Tamandua tetradactyla: one gene and its partner. Each later gene encodes a partner of the first gene's protein in a complex. Links are inferred from orthologs where the notes say so. Each region holds a gene or a part of one and is shown on either strand. Other genes may lie near its edges. The genes, in order: NHP2 and NOP10.

What was found.
Region 2: NHP2 (region 1) and NOP10 share a complex: the UniProt entries of both Homo sapiens proteins name them as parts of the H/ACA small nucleolar ribonucleoprotein (H/ACA snoRNP) complex. The link is inferred for Tamandua tetradactyla from reciprocal best matches to the Homo sapiens genes NHP2 and NOP10.

Annotation. Positions count from the first base shown.
Region 1 is NC_135346.1:59,722,963-59,734,869, reverse strand, and holds the start of NHP2 (H/ACA ribonucleoprotein complex subunit 2), read left to right. Parts: upstream 1-6,551; 5' UTR 6,552-6,630; coding exon 6,631-6,790; intron 6,791-6,873; coding exon 6,874-6,943; intron 6,944-9,091; coding exon 9,092-9,197; intron 9,198-9,748; coding exon of another isoform or gene 9,749-9,793; coding exon 9,794-9,919; 3' UTR 9,920-11,608; coding exon of another isoform or gene 11,609-11,672; 3' UTR 11,673-11,753; coding exon of another isoform or gene 11,754-11,907. Other genes in the region: E3 ubiquitin-protein transferase RMND5B, read right to left, coding at 11,609-11,672, 11,754-11,907. UniProt on the Homo sapiens protein: Required for ribosome biogenesis and telomere maintenance. Part of the H/ACA small nucleolar ribonucleoprotein (H/ACA snoRNP) complex, which catalyzes pseudouridylation of rRNA.
Region 2 is NC_135340.1:45,694,912-45,704,969, forward strand, and holds NOP10 (H/ACA ribonucleoprotein complex subunit 3), read left to right. Parts: upstream 1-6,351; 5' UTR 6,352-6,429; coding exon 6,430-6,483; intron 6,484-6,764; coding exon 6,765-6,905; 3' UTR 6,906-7,154; downstream 7,155-10,058. Other genes in the region: NUTM1 (NUT family member 1), read right to left, coding at 1,671-2,379, 4,426-4,501, 5,803-5,865, 6,138-6,155. UniProt on the Homo sapiens protein: Required for ribosome biogenesis and telomere maintenance. Part of the H/ACA small nucleolar ribonucleoprotein (H/ACA snoRNP) complex, which catalyzes pseudouridylation of rRNA.

The DNA of each region.
Region 1 (11,907 bases):
AAAACTTACAGTAAAGTTACAAAAGTAATACAAGCCCCATAGAGAACTCCAACACACCCCTACTCCACCAGATACCAAGATTCACCAATTTTGACATTTTGTTACATTTGCCATATCATTCTATCTATCTGTCTCTGTCTATCCATCCATTCATCCGTCTACTTGTTCATCAATCCCTTTTCTGAACACTTGAGTGTAGATTACACACGTCATGCTCCTTGAACACTCAATACTACCATGGTCGTTTCCTAAGAACTAGAATATTCACTTATGTAATCACCTGAAATACATTTATCATGTTCAAGAAACTGAGCATCGATATAAAGCTTATAGTCTATATTCCAATTTTTTCATATGTTCCCATGATGTCCCTTTGAGCCCTTTTCCTCCCTTGCTAGGGTCTATCCATGATCCTGTATGGAACTGCCATTGTCTCGTTGCTCTTTTTTTAAGCTGTGGAAACATGTACAAAATAAACTTTCCCATCGTAAACATTCCCAAGCATCCTTTTCAAAGGGACTAAACATATTCACGATATTGTGACAGCCTCACTATTTTCCATTATCAAAACCTTCCTATCTCCCCAAACAGAAACCCTACAGCCATTATGCATTAACACGCATTCCCTCTGGCCTCCCAGCCCTGGAAACCTGTACTTTAATTTCTGTTTCTATGAGCTTGCCTAGTTTCTGTCGTTTTCTTTGTATTTACCATGGTATGTTAGTTTGTAAACTGCTGGAATGCAATATAATGGAAATGGAATGGCTTTAAGAAAGGGAATTTAATAACTTTACAGTTTACAGTTCTGGCCGGGCCACGGTGGCTCAGCAGACAAGAATGTTTGCCTGCTATGCCAGAGGACCCAGGTTCGATTCCTGGTGCCCGCCCATGTAAAAAAAAAAAAAAAAAAGCAATAAGAAGTTTACAGTTCTAAGGAAGTGAAAGCGTCCACATTAAGGCACTAACAAGAGGTTACCTTCACTCAAGAAAGGCTGATGGGTCAGGAACACCTCCGTCAGCTGGGCAGTCACGAGGCTGGCATCTGCTGGTCCCTTGCTCCTGGGCGCCATTGCTTTCAGCCTCTGTTCCTGTGGGGGCTCCTCACTTTGCTTCTCTAGGGCTGGCTTTCATCTCTTGGCTTCCCTTGGCTCTCTCCAGGTTCTAGCTTGCTTAATATCCCATGGTGACGTCTGCTGGGCTCCGAGCATCTCCAAACATCCATGTCACTGTTCTCCAAGTGTCGACATCTATGTCAGCTCTGCTCTGAAGTTTCTGTCGGCTCTGTCATTTCTGTCACCTCTGAAGTTTCTCTCCAAAATGTTTCCCCTTCTAAAGAATTCCGGTAAACTAATCAAGACCCACCTGGAATGGGGAGCATCACATCTCTGTCAAAGTTCACACCCACAATTGGGCATGTCACATCTCCATGGAAATAATCTAATAAAAAGTTAATAACCTATTGAATCAGGATTAAAAGAAACGGCTGCCCTCACAAGATTGGGTCTGGATTATAACATGACTTTTCTGGGGTATATAATAGATACAAACTAGCACACATGGTAGTTTAAATTTAACATTCTAAATCTGCAACAATCACATTTGCTTTGATACCAATTTAACTTCATTAGTGTACACAAACTGTGCTCTTGTGCCCCTCTATACCCTCACGCTTATATAGTTCTTGTCACAAATTGCATGTTATACCATATGAGTCTAAAACCACTGAGTTCTCATTACATGTTATGCCTATACCTTAAAGGTTATGCTCATACCTCTTAAGATCCTGCAGGAAGTAAAAAGGTGAAGTTACTAACCTAAAATCAACAGTAGTGGCATTTCTACTTACCCATGTCATTACCTTCACTGCAGATCTTTATTTCTTCCTGTGCTGTGATCTATTGATCCATTGTTCTTTCCTTCCAGCTCTCATTAGCAGCTTTTAGAGGGTCAGTCTAGTGGCGGCAAACTCCCTCAGCTTTTGTTTCTCTGGGAATGTTTTCATCTCTCCCTCATTTTTTTTCTCTCCCTATTTATTGAAACACAGTTTTGCCAGATATAGACTTCTTGGTTGGCAGTTTTTTGCTCTCAGCACTTTGAATATGTCATCCCACTGCCTTGCTGCTGTCATGGTTTTCATGAGAGATCAGCACTTAATTTTATTGAGACTCCTTTGTATTTGACAAGTTGCTTTTCTCAGCTTTCAGAATTCTCTATCTTTGGCATTTGACTGTTTAATTACATGTGGTATGTGTCTATTTGGGCTTATCCCTATTTGGAGTTCATTGAGCATCTTGGATATGAATATTCATGTTTCTTATTAAATTTGGGAAGTTTCAGCCACTCTTTATTTATTTATTTTTTTTGCATGGGCAGGCACCGGGAATCAAACCCGGGTCTCTGGCATGGCAGGCGAGAACTCTGCCTGCTGAGCCACAGCAGCCCCGCCCTGAGCCACTATTTTTTTTAATATTCTTTCTGCCCCTTTCTCTCCTTTCTTCTTCTGGGATTTTCAAACGCATAAATTGGTATGCTTGATGGTGTCCCACAACTTCCTCATGAGCTGTTCACTTTTCCTCATTCTTTCTGCTCCTCAGACAGGATGACTTCAATTGCCTTATCCTCAAGTTCAGTGACTCTTTCTACTGACAGCTGTTCTTCAACCTCTCTAGCAAATTTTTACCTACTGTTGCTTTTTCATTTTTTTTGCTTTGGAATTGCATGAGAAGAAATGGCCTCTCCCATGACTCTTTGGCCTAATTTTATGTAGGCTTAGCCTATCCTTTGCAGGAATAAGTTTCAAAGGGGCGAACCCCAAGATCGAGGGCTTGGTCTATTGATTTGGTTGTCCCCACTGATTGCAAGAATATCAGAAATTCTCCAAATGGGAAAGTTGAATATTTCCTCCTTTCCTCCCAGTCCCAGAAGGGGACTTTGGAAATATTTCCTTATTCACTGCCCAAATTACTCTGGAATGTATTAGAATATCACATTAACCTGACAAACCAACAAAATCTTACATCCTACTCAAGATTCCATGTACTTATAGTGTTCACCTAAACTGACCAGACAAGTTAAATTAGGTAATGCACTATGACCTAAAATATAAATTTTGTGCCAAATAAACATCTCTCCCTTTGATCCAATGGCTTTTTTTTTGTATGCTATATACCCGGGGTCATATTTCATTCTTTTTCCATGTGTGCATCTCGTTATTGCAGCACCATTTGTTGAATTTTTGTTTGTTTTCTCTTTCTTTCTTTGCTTGTTTGGGAAAGTGCATAAGCCGGGAATCAAACCCGGGTCTCCTGCGTGGCAGGTTCTATGAATCTCAAGTGAGCAATACATTTTAACAATAAAATTGATAAAGTTACACAAGCCATCTTGGAATCAGCATAGGTCACTGAGGCTGGCTTTAGAAATACACAGTGTGGTTTACTGAGGAGACATTTGTTCTTGGTATATCATTGTCTCTTGGTTTAAGATGCTGACACTTGTGACACTTGTAGCCAGGTTGAGGGTCCTTCACTTTCACAGTGGAGCCATGTTTCACATCCTTTGAGCTGAAGTCAAACACCAGTTTACATGGGTGGGGAGAATCTGAGCTTTCAAATAGGTGGACTTGGACTCAAATTCAACTTTTTTTAAAAAAAACTTTTTTTGTGTGAAATATAACATAGATACAAAAAAGCAATAAATTTCAAAGTACATTATATACAAGTTATAAAACAGATTTCAGTTTAGTATGGGTTACCATTCCACAATATTAGGATTTTCTTCCAGCTTCTCCAAGACATGGGAGACTAAAAGAAATATTGATATAATGATTCAGCAATCATACTCATTTGTTAAATCCTATTTTCTCTGTTATAACTCCTCCTCCTTTGATTCTTCTCTCAATCTTTAGGGGTATTTGGGTTATGCCCATTCTAACTTTTTCATGTTGGAAAGGGGGATGGAATGGATAGAGGGATGGAACTATTTAATGTTCTTGGAGGGGCTGGCCCCTCTGGGTTTCAGAATTTACCTGGCCTAGGAACCCATCTGAAGGTTATAGGTATCTGGAAAGCAATTTTAGTGCATGAAACTTTTGTAGAATTTCAGATAGTGTTCTAGTATTCTTTAGGGTTAATAGGAGTGGTTGGGATTTGGGAAGCTTGTGTTAAGAGTAGCCCTCAGAACAGCCTCCTGGCTGTATCAAGTTCAGCTTTGTGTGAGCTGGAACTAGTGACTCACCTCTCTGAGCCTCAGTATATCGTGAATAATAATGGTAGTTTTCATGAGCATTGAATGAGCTATTTTATGTAATGCCCTTGGCACAAAATGTTAATTTCATTCCTCCTTCCCTATAAGACCTGAATGGTCCTCACAGCCGAAGAGGCCAAGGACTCAACAGTATTTGTTTGAATTGGGTTTCTCAGGGATGGATTTCTCTATCACGTCACTGGACAAACAGTCCATATCATGCCCTGTGTGCTGGTTTGAAAGGAAGTGTGCCCCCTAAGAAAAGCCATGTTTTAATATAAGTCTAATTTCATAAGGTAGAATAATCTCTATTCAACACTGTATGTTTGAAACTGTGATTGGATCATCTCCCTGGTTGATGTGATTTAGTCAAGAGTGGTTGTTAAACTGGATTAAGGGATGACATGTCTCCACCCATTTGGGTGGGTCTTGACTGGTTTATTGGAGTCCTATAAAAAAGGAAATATTTCAGAGAATGAGAGATTCAGAGAGAGCAGAGAATGCTGCAGCACCACGAAGTAGAGAGTCCACGAGCCAGTGACCTTTGGAGATGAAGAAGGAAGACACCTCCCGGGGAGCTTCATGAAATAGGAAGCCAGGAGAGAAAGCTGGCAGATGACGCCATATTCGCCATGTGCCCTTCCAGCTGAGAGAGAAGCCCTGACTGTGTTCGCCATGTGCCTTTCCAGATGAGAGACAAACCCTGAACTTCATTGGCCTTCTTGAACCAAGGTATCTTTCCCCAGATGCCTTTGATTGGACATTTCTATAGACTTGGTTTAATTGGGACATTTTTTCGGCCTTAGAACTATAAACTAGCAACTCACTAAATCCCCCCTTTTAAAAGCCGTTCCGTTTCTGGTGTGTTGCATTCTGGCAGCTAGCAAACTAGAACACCCTGTGTGCACACTTGGCAGCACTTATCACCTTTGTGACCATGGTACATTTTCACACCAGATCTACAAGGCTCAAATTGTGTACAAGAAAATCCCTTCGAAACACGAACAGAAAACCGCTATGCAGTTTATCCTGGGAAATGGTAATAGAAAACCACTCCATGGAGCCCTGCCACAAGGCTGGTCTCAGGCCCTGCATTCCACTGGAAAGAGTTGCCCAGGGAGGATCAGAATTGCTGCCACATAGGAGGTAGGAGGACAGGGGAGGGTTTGGGATGAGAAATGGTACTGCAAAATCGTCTCTAGTAAGGTGAAAGTTGGCAGTAACTCAGTGTTTCTAAAGCTCTGGGAGAGGCCTCTCTTCTCATGCAATTTCAAAGCGAAGAAAATGAAAAAGTCCATCTTTAAATTGGACACGTTGGCTTAAATAACCCGCCACCCCCACTGCCACCCACCCACTTCTAAAGTTGTGCTTCCTGACCCCTTATTGCACCACACAAATGAAGGACCTACACCGCATAAGCAAAGGCAATTACTTTGCATCAGTTAATAGCCATCTAGCATTCCACAAGATCAAAGAGATTTATCAGTGATGACGAGATCCACCCTTGGCATCGCGATCCACAGTTCTCCACAGCTACATCCGAACTGGTCTGTCTTCTCAGATCTGCCTCCCTTACCCTATGTTAGCCTCGCGTGCGTTTCGCTCCCAGGGGCCAAGGCTGCACGTCAGCTGCCTTCCCCATCAGCCCCAACTCGGTCTCAGCCCCACTCCTGGGTAAAGGCAGGCAGTGGTAAGAACCAGGAGGAACATACAGGGCTGGGGGATGCTGGTGGGGGGCTGCAGTTTTAGATAACGGGCTCAGACGGGAGCCTCTCCCACGGGGAAATACGTGGGCAGAAGGTGCTGGAAGAGAACGGGCGAGCCGCGGCGCGCTCTGGAGGAAAGAGCTCCAGACCTAGGCGCCAGTGATCCCTTGCTCTGGGTTCTTCCGGAGCTGTGCATCCGGGTTCCTCAGAGAGGGAGCACGTAGGAGAAATGATGCCAAAACGGAAGAACGCGTTAGCAGCGTCGGTCTTCGGCCCTAACGTCCAGCACCTGGGGCGCACCTCCCAGGGCCGTTGGGGAGCCTGTTCTTCCGCCAGGGCCGCCCCCCGGTCGTAGCCACGCCCCCACAGGAACGGCCGCTTCCTTCGGCCACCGTAGCCGCGACGCGGGAACTCTCAGGACGGCGGAAGCCGCGGTCCCTTTCCCTCCTGTCCCATAGGACGCCGGCCCGGCCCGCCTCCCCGCCAAGACTCCAGCCGCTGCCCTAGCTCCGCCACTGAGCGTCAGCGATTGGCCTGCGTCGGAGGTGCTCGCTTCCGATTGGTTGTCGTGGCCTGCCGGCCTCGCGCACCGCGGGCTGACCCGGAAGTGATTCCTTTAGCGGCCCGCCGCGTGGATTCGCCTCCCGACTACCCGGACTGGGCGAGTGCCCCGGCCGCTGCCATGACCAAAATAAAGCCGGATCCCGACCGGCCGGAGGCTCAAGCCGAGGCGTGCGCCGGGGAGCGCACCTACCATGAGCTGCTGGTCAACCTGAACCCCATCGCGCAGCCCCTGGCTTCTCGCCGACTCACGCGGAAGCTCTACAAATGCATAAAGAAAGGTATGCCGGGGTCGGGGTCCGGCCGGGACGCGAGCGAGTCTGGCGGGGCGAGAGCTCCTGGCTGAACCGCCCTGTCATTACAGCCGTGAAGCAGAAGCAGATTCGGCGCGGGGTAAAGGAGGTTCAGAAATTTATCAACAAAGGCGAAAAAGGGTAAGGATTCCCCTCCCCGCCGGATTTGTCAAGTCTAGATAGAGGGAAACCCTTACGGCTTAATAGAAGGATATTCCTAAATCGGTTCTGACTCAGCCCCATATGCAGAAGATAAAGCAGCCGACGAATCCCCTGCAGTACAGATTCCGATAATCACTTATACGAGCTCAAAGGGACAGTGGACTCCGGAGGGAAGCCCGTTGTTGACACGGACTCAGAGTAGACCCCAGCTTCATTCATTCGGCGACTATTTATTGGGCATCCTTTTCTTGTCTGGCACCTGACTGTGGGGATGAAACACTGATCGAATAATCGCATGCACAAAAGTAATTACAAATTGTGATAACCGTGAAGGAAACGTACAGGGTGCAGTGAGAATGACATCATCGCCCTGCTTATCTTACGGCATTTATCAGAACCTGTGGTACTTATTTACATTTTCATTCCCTTCCTTCCCACATAGGACTGCAGGCCCCTTGAAACCAGGGCCTCTTTATCCCCAGTGTCTGACCCAATAGATGCCCAAGATAAAATGCTGTGTGTGTGTGGGGGGGGGGGGGGGAGGGGGTGATGTTCAGATAGGAATCTGCCCTACTTGGGGTTGAGATAGGTGCATCAGCGAGTTTCCCTGACAATTCACATTTGAGCTGAGATCTGAGGACGGGGATTAACCAGTGGTGGGAGGGTTGTTCCAGCAGAAGAGGATTCTGTATAAAAGTCTAGGGCAGGAGAGAGCTGAGGTGGGCAGAGGTCCTATCTTCTCATGAGTCCCTGTAAGCCACAGTCAGGAATTTGGTTCTTGTACTCTGTGCATTAGGTGGACCATTAAAGTGGTACAGCTAGGTAGTACCCTAAGTATGTTTACAGTTCAAGATTTTCCTGGCAACTGAGAAAAGAAAAAATTAGAGAGGCAGGAATAGATGTGAGAAAACTGGAGGCTACTTCAATCCAGAAAAGGTAAGGGTGATTTTGATTAGGCTGGTGATGGGATGCAGATGGTGAGAATTCAGGTAGATGGATTTGAAATAACTTTAGTATATGAAGAGTGAGGAGATAGTGTTTGGTTTTAGACAAGTTTTTGCGGTGCCTTTGAGACAGTAGGCAGATTGTTATATGGGATTGGTTATATGGGAGTGACAGCTGGTCTGGAGAAAACAGATTTGGGGGTTGTCAGTACATAGATGGCACTGATGCCATGGCTGAGGATCACGTCGGCCAGGGAGAAGGTGTTAAGTGACACAGGGCAGTCGGAGACCAGGCTGTGAGGATTACCAACATTTCAAAGGTACTTAAAGGAAGAGAATCCTGCAGAGGAACAGAGCCCAAGAAGCAGAAGGCAAACAGGACACTGAAGCAGTGCTCTGAGCTGGGCTTCTCTCCTGCCTGCCTTTCACCCACCCTTGGAGAACAGATTCTTTCATCTGTCTTCAGGGCTCCGGAGGTCCTTGGCCCAGAGCCCAACCTGGCCAGCTAGGAACCCTAGCTGAGGATTCTCAGACAAGCCTTTAGTGGTGTCCTGGCACTCAAGGCCGTTGGTATGGCGCCTGCCTGCTGTCTAGCATTCTTGGCTACTGCCCACCTCATCCCCATCCTGGATTTCAAAGCCATCCAGGCTGCCAGCAGCCTCCATGCTGTATCGTACCATTCTGCTTCTCTTCGCCTTAATGTCTTCCTCGCACTCTGCATCCCCCATGAGCTGCCTGCCATTCATTCGTTCAGCCTTGGTTCAAGTGCTGGCCCCTGGCTGAAGCCTTGTCTGACTTTCCAAAGAGAATTACTTACTCCTTTGTGCCCCTGCCATACTCTGTCACTTTACCACTTGTCACACTTGGTGGCATTTACTTGTTGCCATGTCACCTCCCACTGAATCAGTGGGTCTTAGGTCAGACCTAAACTATTTCTTAGGTTAGAGATACATTTGAATCTGTAGTTAAAAAATAGAGATCATCTCCCCCAGAATGCACTCACCCAAACACACTGTTTTTCTCCCACTTTCGAGGACTGTAGACATCCCCATTAATGACTATGGGTTCCTTGAGGACAGAGGCACTTTATTCTGAGCTGTAACCCCAAGGCCCAACCCAGAGGCAGCACTGAAGGGCTGAAAAAAGAGCAGGCTAGAAATGACAGTGTTTTCTTTCTTCTCAGGATCATGGTTTTGGCAGGAGACACACTGCCCATTGAGGTATTCTGCCATCTCCCGGTGATGTGTGAGGACCGGGATATGCCCTACGTCTACATTCCCTCCAAGACGGTGAGAAGCACAGCACCCTCCAACGTTTGTTGGCACTGGGAGGGGGTCTGGGACCTGGACTGTGGCACTAGGCTATTGTGGAAAAGGACACAAGCTCTGGAGTCAGGAGAGTTCTGGATCAGTGCTTGGCTCTGCTGCTGCTTAGTTGTGGAACCGAAAATAAGTTACCTTCCTGCACTTTAGTTTCCTCCTCATAAAATCAGAATCTATTCCTGTGTGGACTGTGAGACTGAAAACCAGTAGACTCGAGTGTGTATGCTTTCCAAATTAAAATGTGGCACAAGTGTGAGCCCTGTTAGGTGTTTCAGTATTTTGGGAAGCTGCAGCTGTCCTTATCTTTACGTAGCAGGGCCAGAGCTGGAGTGCCGCAGAGTTAGGGGTGGTGGGGACTGGAGAACATAGGCTCTGCCCTATGGAGATGTGACTTGAAAATTTGCTGAGTTTAAAAAGTGGCAACCAATTCAAAATGCTTTTGAGCATAATACGGACCCAGTAGGACAATTTGGGCCATATTAGGCCTGGGGTCATCAGTTGTGACTTCTGGTGTACAGGCTGTGCGGCATTTCCCCCAGCCTTTCTCTCCCCGTTCTCTGTAGGACCTGGGGGCGGCCGCTGGCTCCAAGCGCCCCACCTGTGTGATCATGGTCAAGCCCCACGAGGACTACCAGGAGGCCTACGATGAGTGCCTCGAGGAGGTCCAGGCCCTGCCCCCGCCCCTGTGAGACTCGGGCAACCACCTGTGAACCTGCTCTGGAAGCGGTGGGACTGGCGGCTGGCCAGCTGGCTGCCCTCTTTGCTGCCCACATGCACAGCGTTTCCACAGTCCCCTGAGGCATTTTTTCTTCCCAGGCAGCTCCAGCAGCTAATTCATGAAGGTAAAAGCCAGCATCTTTTCCATCGCTGCCATTTCCTGTTGAGCTTAAATGAAGACCATTCCAAGAATTTGGTGTGGGGGAAGTAAATGCTAAGACTAAAATGTGGTGAGTGTGTGGGTGTTTTTAAGCAGCAGCTGCTGGGGGTACCAAGGAGTTGGTGGGCAGCAAAGAGCGGAAGCAGACTTTCTTGCCAGAGAACCCTAAGCATTTTGAGACTGTCAAGACCTGGCCATCTAAACTGGTGCTTGGACTCAACTGGGAGATGGACTTTTTGCTGCCCACCCCAGAGCTTTCAGCCTGTACTTCCAGAGCAGGTGGGATCTCACAGCTGCAAGATAAGGCAGTACAAACCAGACCCCATTTCTTTGAAGCCTGCAGCCGTTATGTCTTGGGAACACCCCCATTCAGTTTTTCTTCTTTCCCCAGGAGCTACCATTGTGAAACAAGGAAACAATTTGCCTACCCACACAGTAAAATTTAACCCCAGGCCAGCTCTCTTGTTTAGCATAATAGCCCCTGGCCCCATGTCTTCACACATTTCAAATCTAAGGTTTAACTTCCCTTCTCATTGTCAAAGATCTAATGTAGGACACAGGACACACAGGGACCCAGCTTCAAGCCCCCTGGGATAAATTTGGGCTTGAGGGTCAGAAGGGATTTAGATTTCAAGCAGCTCTCTCCTTTACAAGCTGTGAGCCTTGCTGTGTAAGTCATTTCATCTTCCTAAATCCTCTTACACTGATTGATAACATGGAGGTAATAAGATTTATATATATAAATATATATATATACACACACACATAAAGCCTCTGGCCCAGGGTCTGACATTTCCCACATTTTCCCTGCAAGCCTCTGTCCTTATCTGGTGTGTGTCCCATGGAATTATGCCTTCGTTGCAGGATTTTTCCCCAACCAGAGATGGCGAGTTGGATTCCTGGGCACTGGCATGCTCCAAGCGGCAGCAGTAGTGGCCACTACTTGCCAGGTGCTGTATGTGGCAGACACATAGTAATTGTCAAGTGAAGCTTAAGGCAGACCAGGAGAGGTTAAGGAGAAGGGCTTTGAATATATTTGCTCAAAGTTATAAAACAATGTTATTCAGCGCTCACGTGGACTATTTACAGTGGGAAATGGATATGTATGGTCATGATACTGTACAGTGGGAGGGGGTGGGCCACAGCTGGACACAACATTGGTGTGGCAATGAGAGACCTGGCTGAGGGCAGGGGTGGAGAGGGGTCTGCTGACAGCCACATCCTTTGCTGCTCTGTCAGTTGCTATGAAGTCAACAGCAAATATAAACAGAGACAGCAGGATTAGGGAGGCCAGCATCGCCCTTTTCTTACAGCGAGGGAGCCAGCTGCCCAGGGCACGGTGGTTCGCTGTCCTCTGCCCCTGCCAAATGTCCATGTTGCTCTTCCCAAGGTAGCACTGAGGAGCCGGCTGCTCTGAAGTGAACTGCAAGACACTGAAGCCAGCTGGACCAAGGCTCATGGGTCCAAAACCCCTTTCAACAAAGTTCCTTCCAGGCTGGAATCAGAATATGATGCGTTTCCCGTCGGCTGGGTTCTGCTCCATGGGGCAGTATGGACACTTCAGCCTGCAAAGGGAGGGGAGACGAAGTCTTGGGGCCAACCATCGGGGCAGCCTCATAAGGTGGGGCTGATCCTGGGGAACTTACTTTCCTCCATTAATGAGCTTGTTCAGTGCATCTCGGGAGATGACATGGCCACAGATGAGCTTGATGGGAGGGTTGGAATCTGACGTCTGCTGGCGGAGGATGGGGCAAGCAAACACCGAGTGGTACCAGCACTTCATGCCTAGTTCGATCTCGA
Region 2 (10,058 bases), on another chromosome or scaffold:
TGGGAGGAGACCCTGCTCCAAAGGTCTTGTGTGTGGAGAGCATGAGTAGACCAGGGTCAAAGGTAAATGGCTCTAGCCCCTTGAAGAGCAGTGTGGTGGTTCCAAAGGAGGCTAAGGGTGGAGTTGCCATTTGATCCTGAAACCAGTTGCTCAGTATATACCTGGAGGAACTGAATGTGGGGACTCAAATGGACATTTGCACACTGGTGTTTCTGGTGGCAGTGTTCAGGATCCACAATGCATGGAGGTAGTCTAAGGATACGACCACTAAGAAATGGAACAGGTAACTATGGTATATACATACAATGGACTGCTGAGCTGCAGCAAGAAGGAATGAAGTTGTCAGGCATGCAACTAGTTATATGAACCTTAAGGACTATATGTTGAATGAAATGTCAGGAACAAAAAGATGAATATTATCATGCCTCAATAATACAAACTAAGTATAATATAAAAACTCATTGAACTGAAATATGTATGTAGTATGTGTTATATGGTGATTTTAACACAAAATGTTAAAGAGGACACAGTGCAGAGTTGAGAGAGGTAGAGGGTCTGGTGGGAAGAAGAGAAAACTCCCCAGATAACTAATGACTGCTTTATAAGCACAACAGACAGCCCATGACCCCAGATTCCTTGGCTAGCATCCACTCAAACCCTTAAGGCAAGGATATTTTGGACTTTTGTGAGTTCATTTCCTCTTTTAGGTTGCCTTATAATGATGATGATAACTATGACTACCATTTAATGGGGACTTCTCTTCTGTCAGACACTGCTAAGCATTCTAGGTATATTAGCTCATTTAATCTCAGCAACCCTCTGGGGTTAATTAATTAATTAATTAACTCCTTTTTAGATAAGAAAACTGAGTATCAATGACATTAAATGTCCTGCCCAGATAAGCATGCTCCCACTTCCCTATTTCAACTTGAATTCTCAATAAAATGGCAGGGCAATAAAATGGAAGCAGGGCACACCAAGTTTCTTTTTGTTCCTGACATTTCATTCAACATATAGTCCTTAAGGTTCATATAACTAGTTGCATGCCTGACAACTTCATTCCTTCTTGCTGCAGCTCAGCAGTCCATTGTATGTATATACCATAGTTACCTGTTCCATTTCTTAGTGGTCGTATCCTTAGACTACCTCCATGCATTGTGGATCCTGAACACTGCCACCAGAAACACCAGTGTGCAAATGTCCATTTGAGTCCCCACATTCAGTTTGAGCCTATACAGTCCATTGCCTCCCACAGGAAAGGCCAGCACTCCTTGTCCTGGCTGGCAGTGAGACTCGACTCAAATATTAGAAGGTAGTAAGAAAATGGGAGGATTATGGCACTTGGGGTCAGAGACCTAAGTTGAAATCATAGCTCCTGTCTTTATGACAGGAAACCTTTCTGAGTGTGGTTATCTGTAATAGAAGCGTATATTTAAAATGCCTGCCTGAATTCACAGTGTTGAAAAGATCACTTGAGAAAAGACACCTAAAAGCCTGTTATAAACTGGGAAGTGGATTAAGAAGTGTATCATCATTATCATGCTTTTATCTTCTTAGGATCTCCAGGGCCTTCATGACTTGCCTTCAATTATTCCTAAATAGCCTAACCATCCCAAAGTTCTCCCTATGTAAAAGCCCTGGATTAATCAATCTCAGGTCTCCCCACTTACATAAGAAAGCAGGAAAGAGCTTCTGCATCGGGACTTTGGGATAGATGCTTCCGGGCCAAAGCTTTGTAGCGCTGCCAGCGTCGGAAGTTCTCATAAACACCCTTGGAGGTATAGGAAAGGTCACTCAGTGAGGGCTTGGATCGGGTGGCCACAGGGCTTCCTTCCCCAGGAGACCCATACGGCCCTGGGCAAACCTCCTGTAGGACAGTGGGGGATAGCTGGACAGCTGGTGGTGGCGCCTGAAGAGGAAGGCTCGAGGGCCCCTCTTGGCTCACCCCGGAAGCCTTAGCAGGCAGAATGGTCTTCACATTAGAGGCCGTCAGGAATCTCGGTGAAGGACCCTCAGAACCTCCACAAGGAGCTCCTGGGGCAATCCAATTGAGGGCCGTCGTCGGAGTAAGGATCAAGTTCTGAGTTGGAGGAGGCTCAACTGCTCCCCCTTCTGTCTTTACTTTGACAATGACCTTGCCAGTCCCAGCCCCACTAGGGCCAGGGCCCTCATCCCCTGCCACCAACAGTGGGCTGGGGAAAGCAGAGAGCACAAGAGGGTTGCCTGGAGAGAATGCTGAAGGCATGGGGGGCTGTGGGGGAGGCTCCCAGGGTGGTTGCTCTGGTGGGCCAGGTGGAGGTGGAGGAAAAGGAAGTGCAGTGAAAGGGGACATAGTGGAGCCAGGTTTCATGGTCATATCCGGTCCAGGCAATGAAGATGCTGTTGAGACAAAGAAAAAGAGGGAATGGGGTCTGAGAAAGGAGACCAGAAGTTAGGTCACTTGGGTCTCTTTTTACTCACTGAAGAACTAGACCACTAGATCCTTAACAGGTGAGGGAGGGGATATGACTGAGAACTAGAGTAGTTTGCAACTGTCCTCCCCTCCCCAGGTGATTTTGATATTCCTTACTCCCAATTGTGAATGAGTGCACTGGAGAAGTTACTCCCTTTCCAACAAGACTCCCCAATCCATGTCTTCCAAAAAGAGACAAGCCCATGCTCCTGGAAAGCCTCTCCAAGAAAATTCCTGGCAGACTTCCACTGACAGCCCCATAGGGAACAGGGTTGACACCTATTCTGCAGGAAAAGACCCCATAGCAGGCTCATAAGCAGAAAAGGGACCTTGTCCAGCTCCTTTAGGAACCCACAGAGGCAGTTTCAAAAAGATTATTGGACCCATCTCCCCCTCTGTCTTCTTATAAAATCTCTTTTCTTTCTTTCCTAACCTAAAACAACAGAAGAAAGATGCAAACTATTAGCAGGAGCAATGACCCTAGGATCCGTGACACTCACACCCATGACACTTCCCACGAGCAAACATGGACATCCCCTATTCCCAACCATGTCAAACAAATTCAAACCACCTAAACCCTGCTCTCAGTTGCTCTGTAGTCACTGCCACAACTCACAGAAGCCCTGTCCCCAGGACCAAGTGTGTGGATTAGATGTTTGGTTCCCAGAAATTCTGTTATATAATAGCCAGGAATGACTACAGAAGATTAGATAAGTACCAGGAAATGGGTGAAGGGTGGGAGATGTAGGGAGGTTTCCAGAGCTGCCAGACGTGTTAAAAATTTGGCGCTGCAGACTGCCTTGCAGTCCTTCTGCTTTGAAATCCTAAAACCAGAAATTTAGGAGTCACTCAGAACAAGACTGTGAGCTGGTTGCTTAGAGAAGGATAATTGAAGTCTGGAACACAATTCTTGCTCACGAGTTGCTTGTGTGGATTCTAGTTAAGGGGACTAAGGATAAACAAAAGGTGCTTAATTAATTAGGACGTGTCTCCTAGGACTTTAAATAACAATAATAGAAGATAATCTGCCTAAATTCATACTAATCCCCCCACCCCACCCTGCTCTTATAAAGAGCATTCCTCTGGCAAACTGACAACACTCAGCTTCTACTTCCTGGCCTTGAAGGAGACATGGAATATAAGCAAATTAGTCATCTCAACAGCAGCGCAGAAGGCCACAAGTATGGCCGAAAGTACTGAACAAAATGAAATTGGTCTGAAGGCCTGAGTCCCACAAAACATAAAATCAAAGCTTTCTTCCCAGTTGGAGTTAACCACCACCTCCCTGGGCCCTGATGAATCAAGGAAAACTGCTATACAGAAAGAAAAGCCATCTCTGGGGCTGGAAGTTGCTGTGAAGCTCTGAGCCCTGGCAGTTAGAGTACTTTCCAGCCTAGCTTTCAGGAAAATGTTTCCCTGCAGGCTTGGCAACAGATGAGACACTGAACTGTTTTTTTGACTAAAATCATCCCCCAACCCTATCTTCTCTCCCTCTTCCCTTTATAAGATGAAGAGTGACCTCATCTCAGTTCTCTCAGGGCAAAATGCTAGAGCAGGCACCTAAAGAAAAAGACTTAAGAACTTGGGCCTTCCCCTTGAAACCCTTCTGGGCCCCTCCCACCACATACCTCTGCCCCTGCTGCACAAACACACATTGATGTGGTCCCCCTCCTAGAGAATCCAGTTCCTAATTGCCAGCCTTTCTCTACCTAGCCTACTTCCTCTGAGGTGTCCTAATCTACCCCTAAGGAGCCCTCTTCCTTCCCCAAACTCCAGTCTGAATTGTTCAGTCTCCCTCCCCAGCCTCCCCCAGGTGTGATGCCTTTGGTGGGGTCCACAGGTCTCCTCCCTCTAGGCCAGCCCAAAGAGCTTGCTGTCAGACAAAAGTGTCAAATGGGAATCCCCAAGGGTCTGAGTAGGTGGCAGGAGAGTAGGTGGCAGGAACCCTCCCTATCTGACACCCACTGACTTACCTCCATCTGAAGCTATCCTCTCAGATTTGGGCACCAACTGTGGCTGTCTGGAAGCCTCCAGGACCCAGAGAATAAGCTGGCTTAGAAGGTACCAGGGATCCAAGAAAGGGAAGGTAAAGATCGAATCAAAATAGAACTAGAATCTAGGACTCAAGGCATTCTGCAGTGGGGGAGGGGAGGCTTGGAATAGGGGGTACGGATGAGGGGAATATTCCACGAAGGACTCTGAAAAATAGGCACTAACTGAGTTTGGTAACAAACTAGGGTTTGGCAGCACAATTGGCATGTACCTCTTTAGGGCAATTTGAAAATACTTTCTCAAATTCCCAACACAACAGTTTTACCTCTATTTACTTCAATTCTTCACCAATATATCTAGTTTTGCCTCTTCAGCCCCACCCAGTTCAAGAGTAACTGACTTCCTCTTAATAACAGGTTGTTGGTAGACCCTTGACTTAATTCAATGATGGCTGTATTTTCTAAACGAAGTTCAGACCACATAGTCTGCATACTGAATCAAGGCGACTGAATATTTGAAATTCAGATTGTCTCAGAAGATCCAGGATAGTTGATTGCTATATGCCTATCACTTACTCGCAAAGTTGTCCTGCAGCCCTCAAATGGTCTACTACCATAAGCTTGGCAGTCCACATCAGGCCAGCCTTACCAGTCATCCCTTCTGCCGAAAAGCCCCACCACATAAAAAAACTGCCATGTAGCCTAAAAGTTCTAGACCAGAAAGTTCTTCTTTTTGTTTGTTAAATTATTTTCTTGTTGTTAAATACTTAATTAAAAAAAATAATTTTAATTGAATTGTTTTAAATAAATGGTTCCATGCGAACCTTGAACAACCGTGCTGGCTCAAGATTAAAAAATTCAGCCTCCCAGCTTCTAAGAGACAACTCAGGGTTGTTTCCAGAAAACAGGGAATCAGTAAGATGACATAAAATGAGGACTTCAGGGAAGCCCTTTGTTTATTTACTCCTGGCTAAATAGGTAAATACATTAGCATGGTTCAAAAGTCAAACTGCAAAACAGAATATACAGCAACAAGTTTTCTTCCTGTAACAGAGTTCTTCATCCCAGAGGAAACCAATATTACCTTTTTCTTATGGACCCTTGCCGAGGCATTTTGTGCAAATGCAAGCTATATTCTTTTTTTTTTTTTAAAGCTCTCAGGTTTTTGTGGTTATAAATTAATAATATGTTTCAGTGTTTTTGCATTATAGATATTGCTGCAATAATCATTTTTGTAATGCTATCTTGGTTCTAATTTCATTTGTTTAAGCTACAGCCCCATAAAGAAAATTTCTACGTTCCTTTAAAATTCAAAATGCCACTAGAAGTGTTTCTTTTATGCTATCATTAGTTACTCACCACTATAAGAAAAAGCGCTGAAAATGCGGGAAAGAGACCTGAGTTTGAATCCTGGTTCGACCACTAAAACATACTTCACCAGTTTCATAAAATAACTTCACGCTCTCTCCGCTGTGCAGAATATTGAATACCCATCATGCACTCTTTACCGCCAATAGTTTGAAAAGGGGCGGGGAACCGGATGCAAAAGCGGGGAGGGGGAAAAATTATTTTAAGGTAAAGGGGTACTGAATCCCAGAGTCCTTTTCTCTCCTGGTGTTAGACACCCACCGCCCCTCAAATGGGTGGGCATCGTAAAACAAAGACAGAATTCTATTCATTAATGTTCAACCCACGTTCACTCCCACCCCCATCTAACGCCTAGCAGTGCCTGGCACACAGTGGGTACACTCCACGCATCAAGGCATGTAAGGTTACAACTGCAGGCCCCCAGGCCAAATCCTGCGATAGAGCGCCCCCTTCTGGTCAGCTGAAGAAAATGCCAAAAATGGACTACAATTCCCGTCATGGCTTGAGACAGACTTCCGGCTATACCGGAAGGACGTTGTGAGCACGTGAGGTGGTGGGACAGGCAGAGGCGCAGATAAGCGTGCGGACGGAAGTGGTGTCTCTGCTTGAAGCGTGGTCATGTTTCTCCACTTTTACCTCAATGAGCAGGGAGACCGGGTCTATACGCTGAAGGTGAGGAGAGGATACTGCGAGAAATGGGGGGCAGGGGGCGGCGGCGGGCGGACGAGACCGGCTAGGTTTGGAGATCCAGAAATGCCGGAACCGAGGCGTGTAGACGCAGGGTTGTGCCGCTTCTTGAACAGACCGTCGCGTCTCCTAACCCTTTGCTTGCGCCTTATCGCGTTCCCACCCGCACCCCCTATTCCAGCCTCAGTCAACCTTATGACGCCAGTAATTGAGTTTGCCCCTCACTCCGGTGCTGAGATCGTGTTTTCTCTTCCCTTCTCGAGCAGAAGCTTGACCCAATGGGACAACAGACCTGCTCAGCCCATCCTGCCCGCTTCTCCCCAGACGACAAATACTCGCGACACCGAATCACCATCAAGAAACGCTTCAAGGTGCTCATGACCCAGCAACCGCGCCCTGTCCTCTGAGGGTCCCTCATATTTCATGTCTCTTCGGTCTCCTGCTACCCCTCGGAGTCTTTCTTTAAATAAGCTCTTCAGTCTGTGAATCTTGAAGCCCTGTTTTATTACCACCCTTGGTCTTTGGAATCTAGTCGCATTGCCTTTGATCATGCTTGTGTGAGGCAATCATGTTAGCATCTCCTATAAAGGAAACAAGTTTGAATCTTTTCATTTTGTGAACTACTGTTGGGTTATTAAAGACAGAATGATTTAAAAGAGCTCTCATTTTGTGTGTTGTGGGAGAAAAGAGTTGGTAAACAAAAAAAACGAGGGAGATGAAGGGGGAAATGTCCCAGAGCATGGCAATAAGATCACTTGTAAGAAAAACTCAGTCGCTGCTGTAGCAGCGAGTAGTGATGTGCTGTTGTTGATCGGAGTGCGTCGGGAAAGGGGAAGAAAGGTTGAGAAAGACCTTCACAACTGTCTATATTCACTGAAAAATACCCATGTTGTCATTCCTTGTGCCCCCTAGCAATGACATTTTGACTCAAAATGGAAGAGTTTATTGAAAAAGAATAGCAACCATATTGTAGAGGAAGGCCAGTGGATTGGAAGTCAGGAGATGAAGGTTTTCCCCTATTTGTGCAACTTGAAGAATTTGGTGCTATTTTTCACATCATTTCAACGTTCTCTTCCAGCTCTAAAATTGAGAGGATTTAGTGAGTCTTTCTTTTCAGTATATCTGTAGTGTTTGTCCAAACTTTATGAATAGTAGTGCCCACATGCATATTTTCTCTCTGGAAATATTCCCAGAACTTTAGGTCTCTAATCAATTCTCTTTTTACACAAACCTAATTTTGCATTCTTTCTGGCAGCTACTATGTGGAACTCTTCATGAACTTTAATTTAGGAGATGAGGTGAGGTATGAGAGGTTCAAGAAAGAACTTGAAATCTTTTAGGACCTGAGCTTCTATCATGGAGCAATAATAAATGACTTTCAATCCAATTACTTCATATTAAGAGGGTGCAGAAAAATACTGTATCCAGGCACTCAAGAAATGCTAGGTTGCTTCTTCCTCTCATTGTCAAGTTAATCAACCCCTATTTCTCAGTTGTGTTACTTGGCTTTTGACGTTGGATTTGAATGTGCCTGCTCAGTGCCATTGGTTTAAAAATTGCTTTTTGGAGAACATATTCTAATTCAGCAATCTTTTCCTACTTTGTCAAAATTAGCAGAAGTAACTCAAATCAGCACAAATGTCATTTATAAAGACTACAATGGAAAGGGATAGATAACATTTCGCTTGGCCCATGTTGTCTGACCATCCTAGCAGAAAAGTTGAGGACAGTTGTTGACTGCTGAGAAAGAAGGAAGTCTCTGGACTTGGATCATAATCAACGGAGAAAGATGATTTTTAAATTAATTACTTAAACTTACAAAAATGTTGAAATGAGATAGTTTCCTTTTGAGCAATTAATTTTTTTTTTATTTTAGCCTAGTCACTTTCAAAAAGTTCTTAACATTGGGTAGAAAGGATGTTAAGGAGTTATCCTAACCTATTAAGAGAGTAATGATTGGTGAAATATTTAAAGTTATACGAGTAACAAGAAAAAGGGCCTGATGCTAAAAGTTTCTTTTTCTTAAGAGTGGGTAAATGAACTCTACTGTTATTTTTTAATGTTGACTGCAATGCTGATTTTTTTCTTAAAAAAAAAAAAATAGCATTGTTCCCCATGGAACCTGCAACATAGACTGAAATTAGACCCTGGGCTGGAAATGTTCCTAGTTGAAGTAGAGGAGAAAAGGCAAACTGTTGTGCAGTAATGAGAACTTTTTCCTTCGGTATTAACATCTCCTGGGACATAAACTTATAGAGCTTGATGAGTGCTCAAAGACAAGAGAGGAATCTTAAGAGTTATAGTATATTAGCATTACGTAGGATATATAAGTAAATGTAAGTACACTGTGATAAAAAAAAAATTGGTGATGTAAAATCCAGCATTTCTTAACAAAGGAAAGTCTGTGGGTTTCCAGTGAAAAACAGGCCTGCCTGAGTTAAAAATATCCCTTGGGGAGATGGATTTCTTGCTGTATCTGTAAGAAAGCTAGGAACCTGAATCAAGTACCACAGGCTTTATAAAGGTTCAGGCTTCAGGAGCTGCACATTTTTTCCTCATTTTGTTACCTGGGTCTTTTAAAATGGACTTTGGACTTTGTGTACCACTTGATGAAAAGGGGTTTTCCTGGCTTGGGTCTTTACAGTTCTGAACCAATTTTTAAAGATGCGGTTTAAACAGTTCCACTTGTGAGGAGCAAAGACCCGGGGAAAGCCAAGGGCCAATTTCTGGGACCAGAATGTTAAATGTCTTGATCAAAGGCACAGCAAATAAATTTAGTCAACATTTATTGAACACCTCTTTATGCATTAAATATACACACTAAAAAATAACTCCATCGCCAGTAAATGTAATAGGGAGAGCACTGGGAGTAGAGAGAAAGTATCTCAATGTCTTTTCCAGGTCTAAAATTATTTATCTAAAGTGTTCTTTAATGGAACGTTCAGTCTGACTAGAAAATGGGCCTACTATTTTTCAAAAGACGGAAACAAGAAAAATCATGCAGTATCCAGTGCGTCTAAAATTGCTGCCTCTACGCTTTAGGATAGAATTCTACATAAAATTCCCATAAGGGTCATACGTAAATATTTGGAATGGGGGGATTGTTATAATTCTTACAGAGATTATGAATGGTATTTTCAGAAACACTCTTATTAAAGAGAGATGGCCCTTGAGGTCTCCTCTTTGAAATGTCTTCCAAGTACTGCAACCCCGGTCCTACCCCGCGAGGCTTCCGCCCCTACATCCGACTGCCAATTTCCGCGATACCCCAGGACCCTCAAACGCTCGGTCCTACTCCCCGCCCCCTCCGCCCACCCGGCTCGCCTGGGCCCAGGGTGGGCGCATGCGCGCAGTCCTCCGTCACCTCGCGGGCCGCAGAGGCTGGGCGGGGCTCCCGGGCGCGCGCAGGACGGTGCCGCCCTCCGACCCTTCCCCCAGGTTTTTTTTCCGGACTGTTAACCTCGAATGAGGAACGAGTCGGGCGGGAAAGGAGGGGCTCCGGCGGCAAGGCTGCAGACCGCCGGGCCGGGCGCTGGGGGTGGCGAGGTCACGTAACGGCT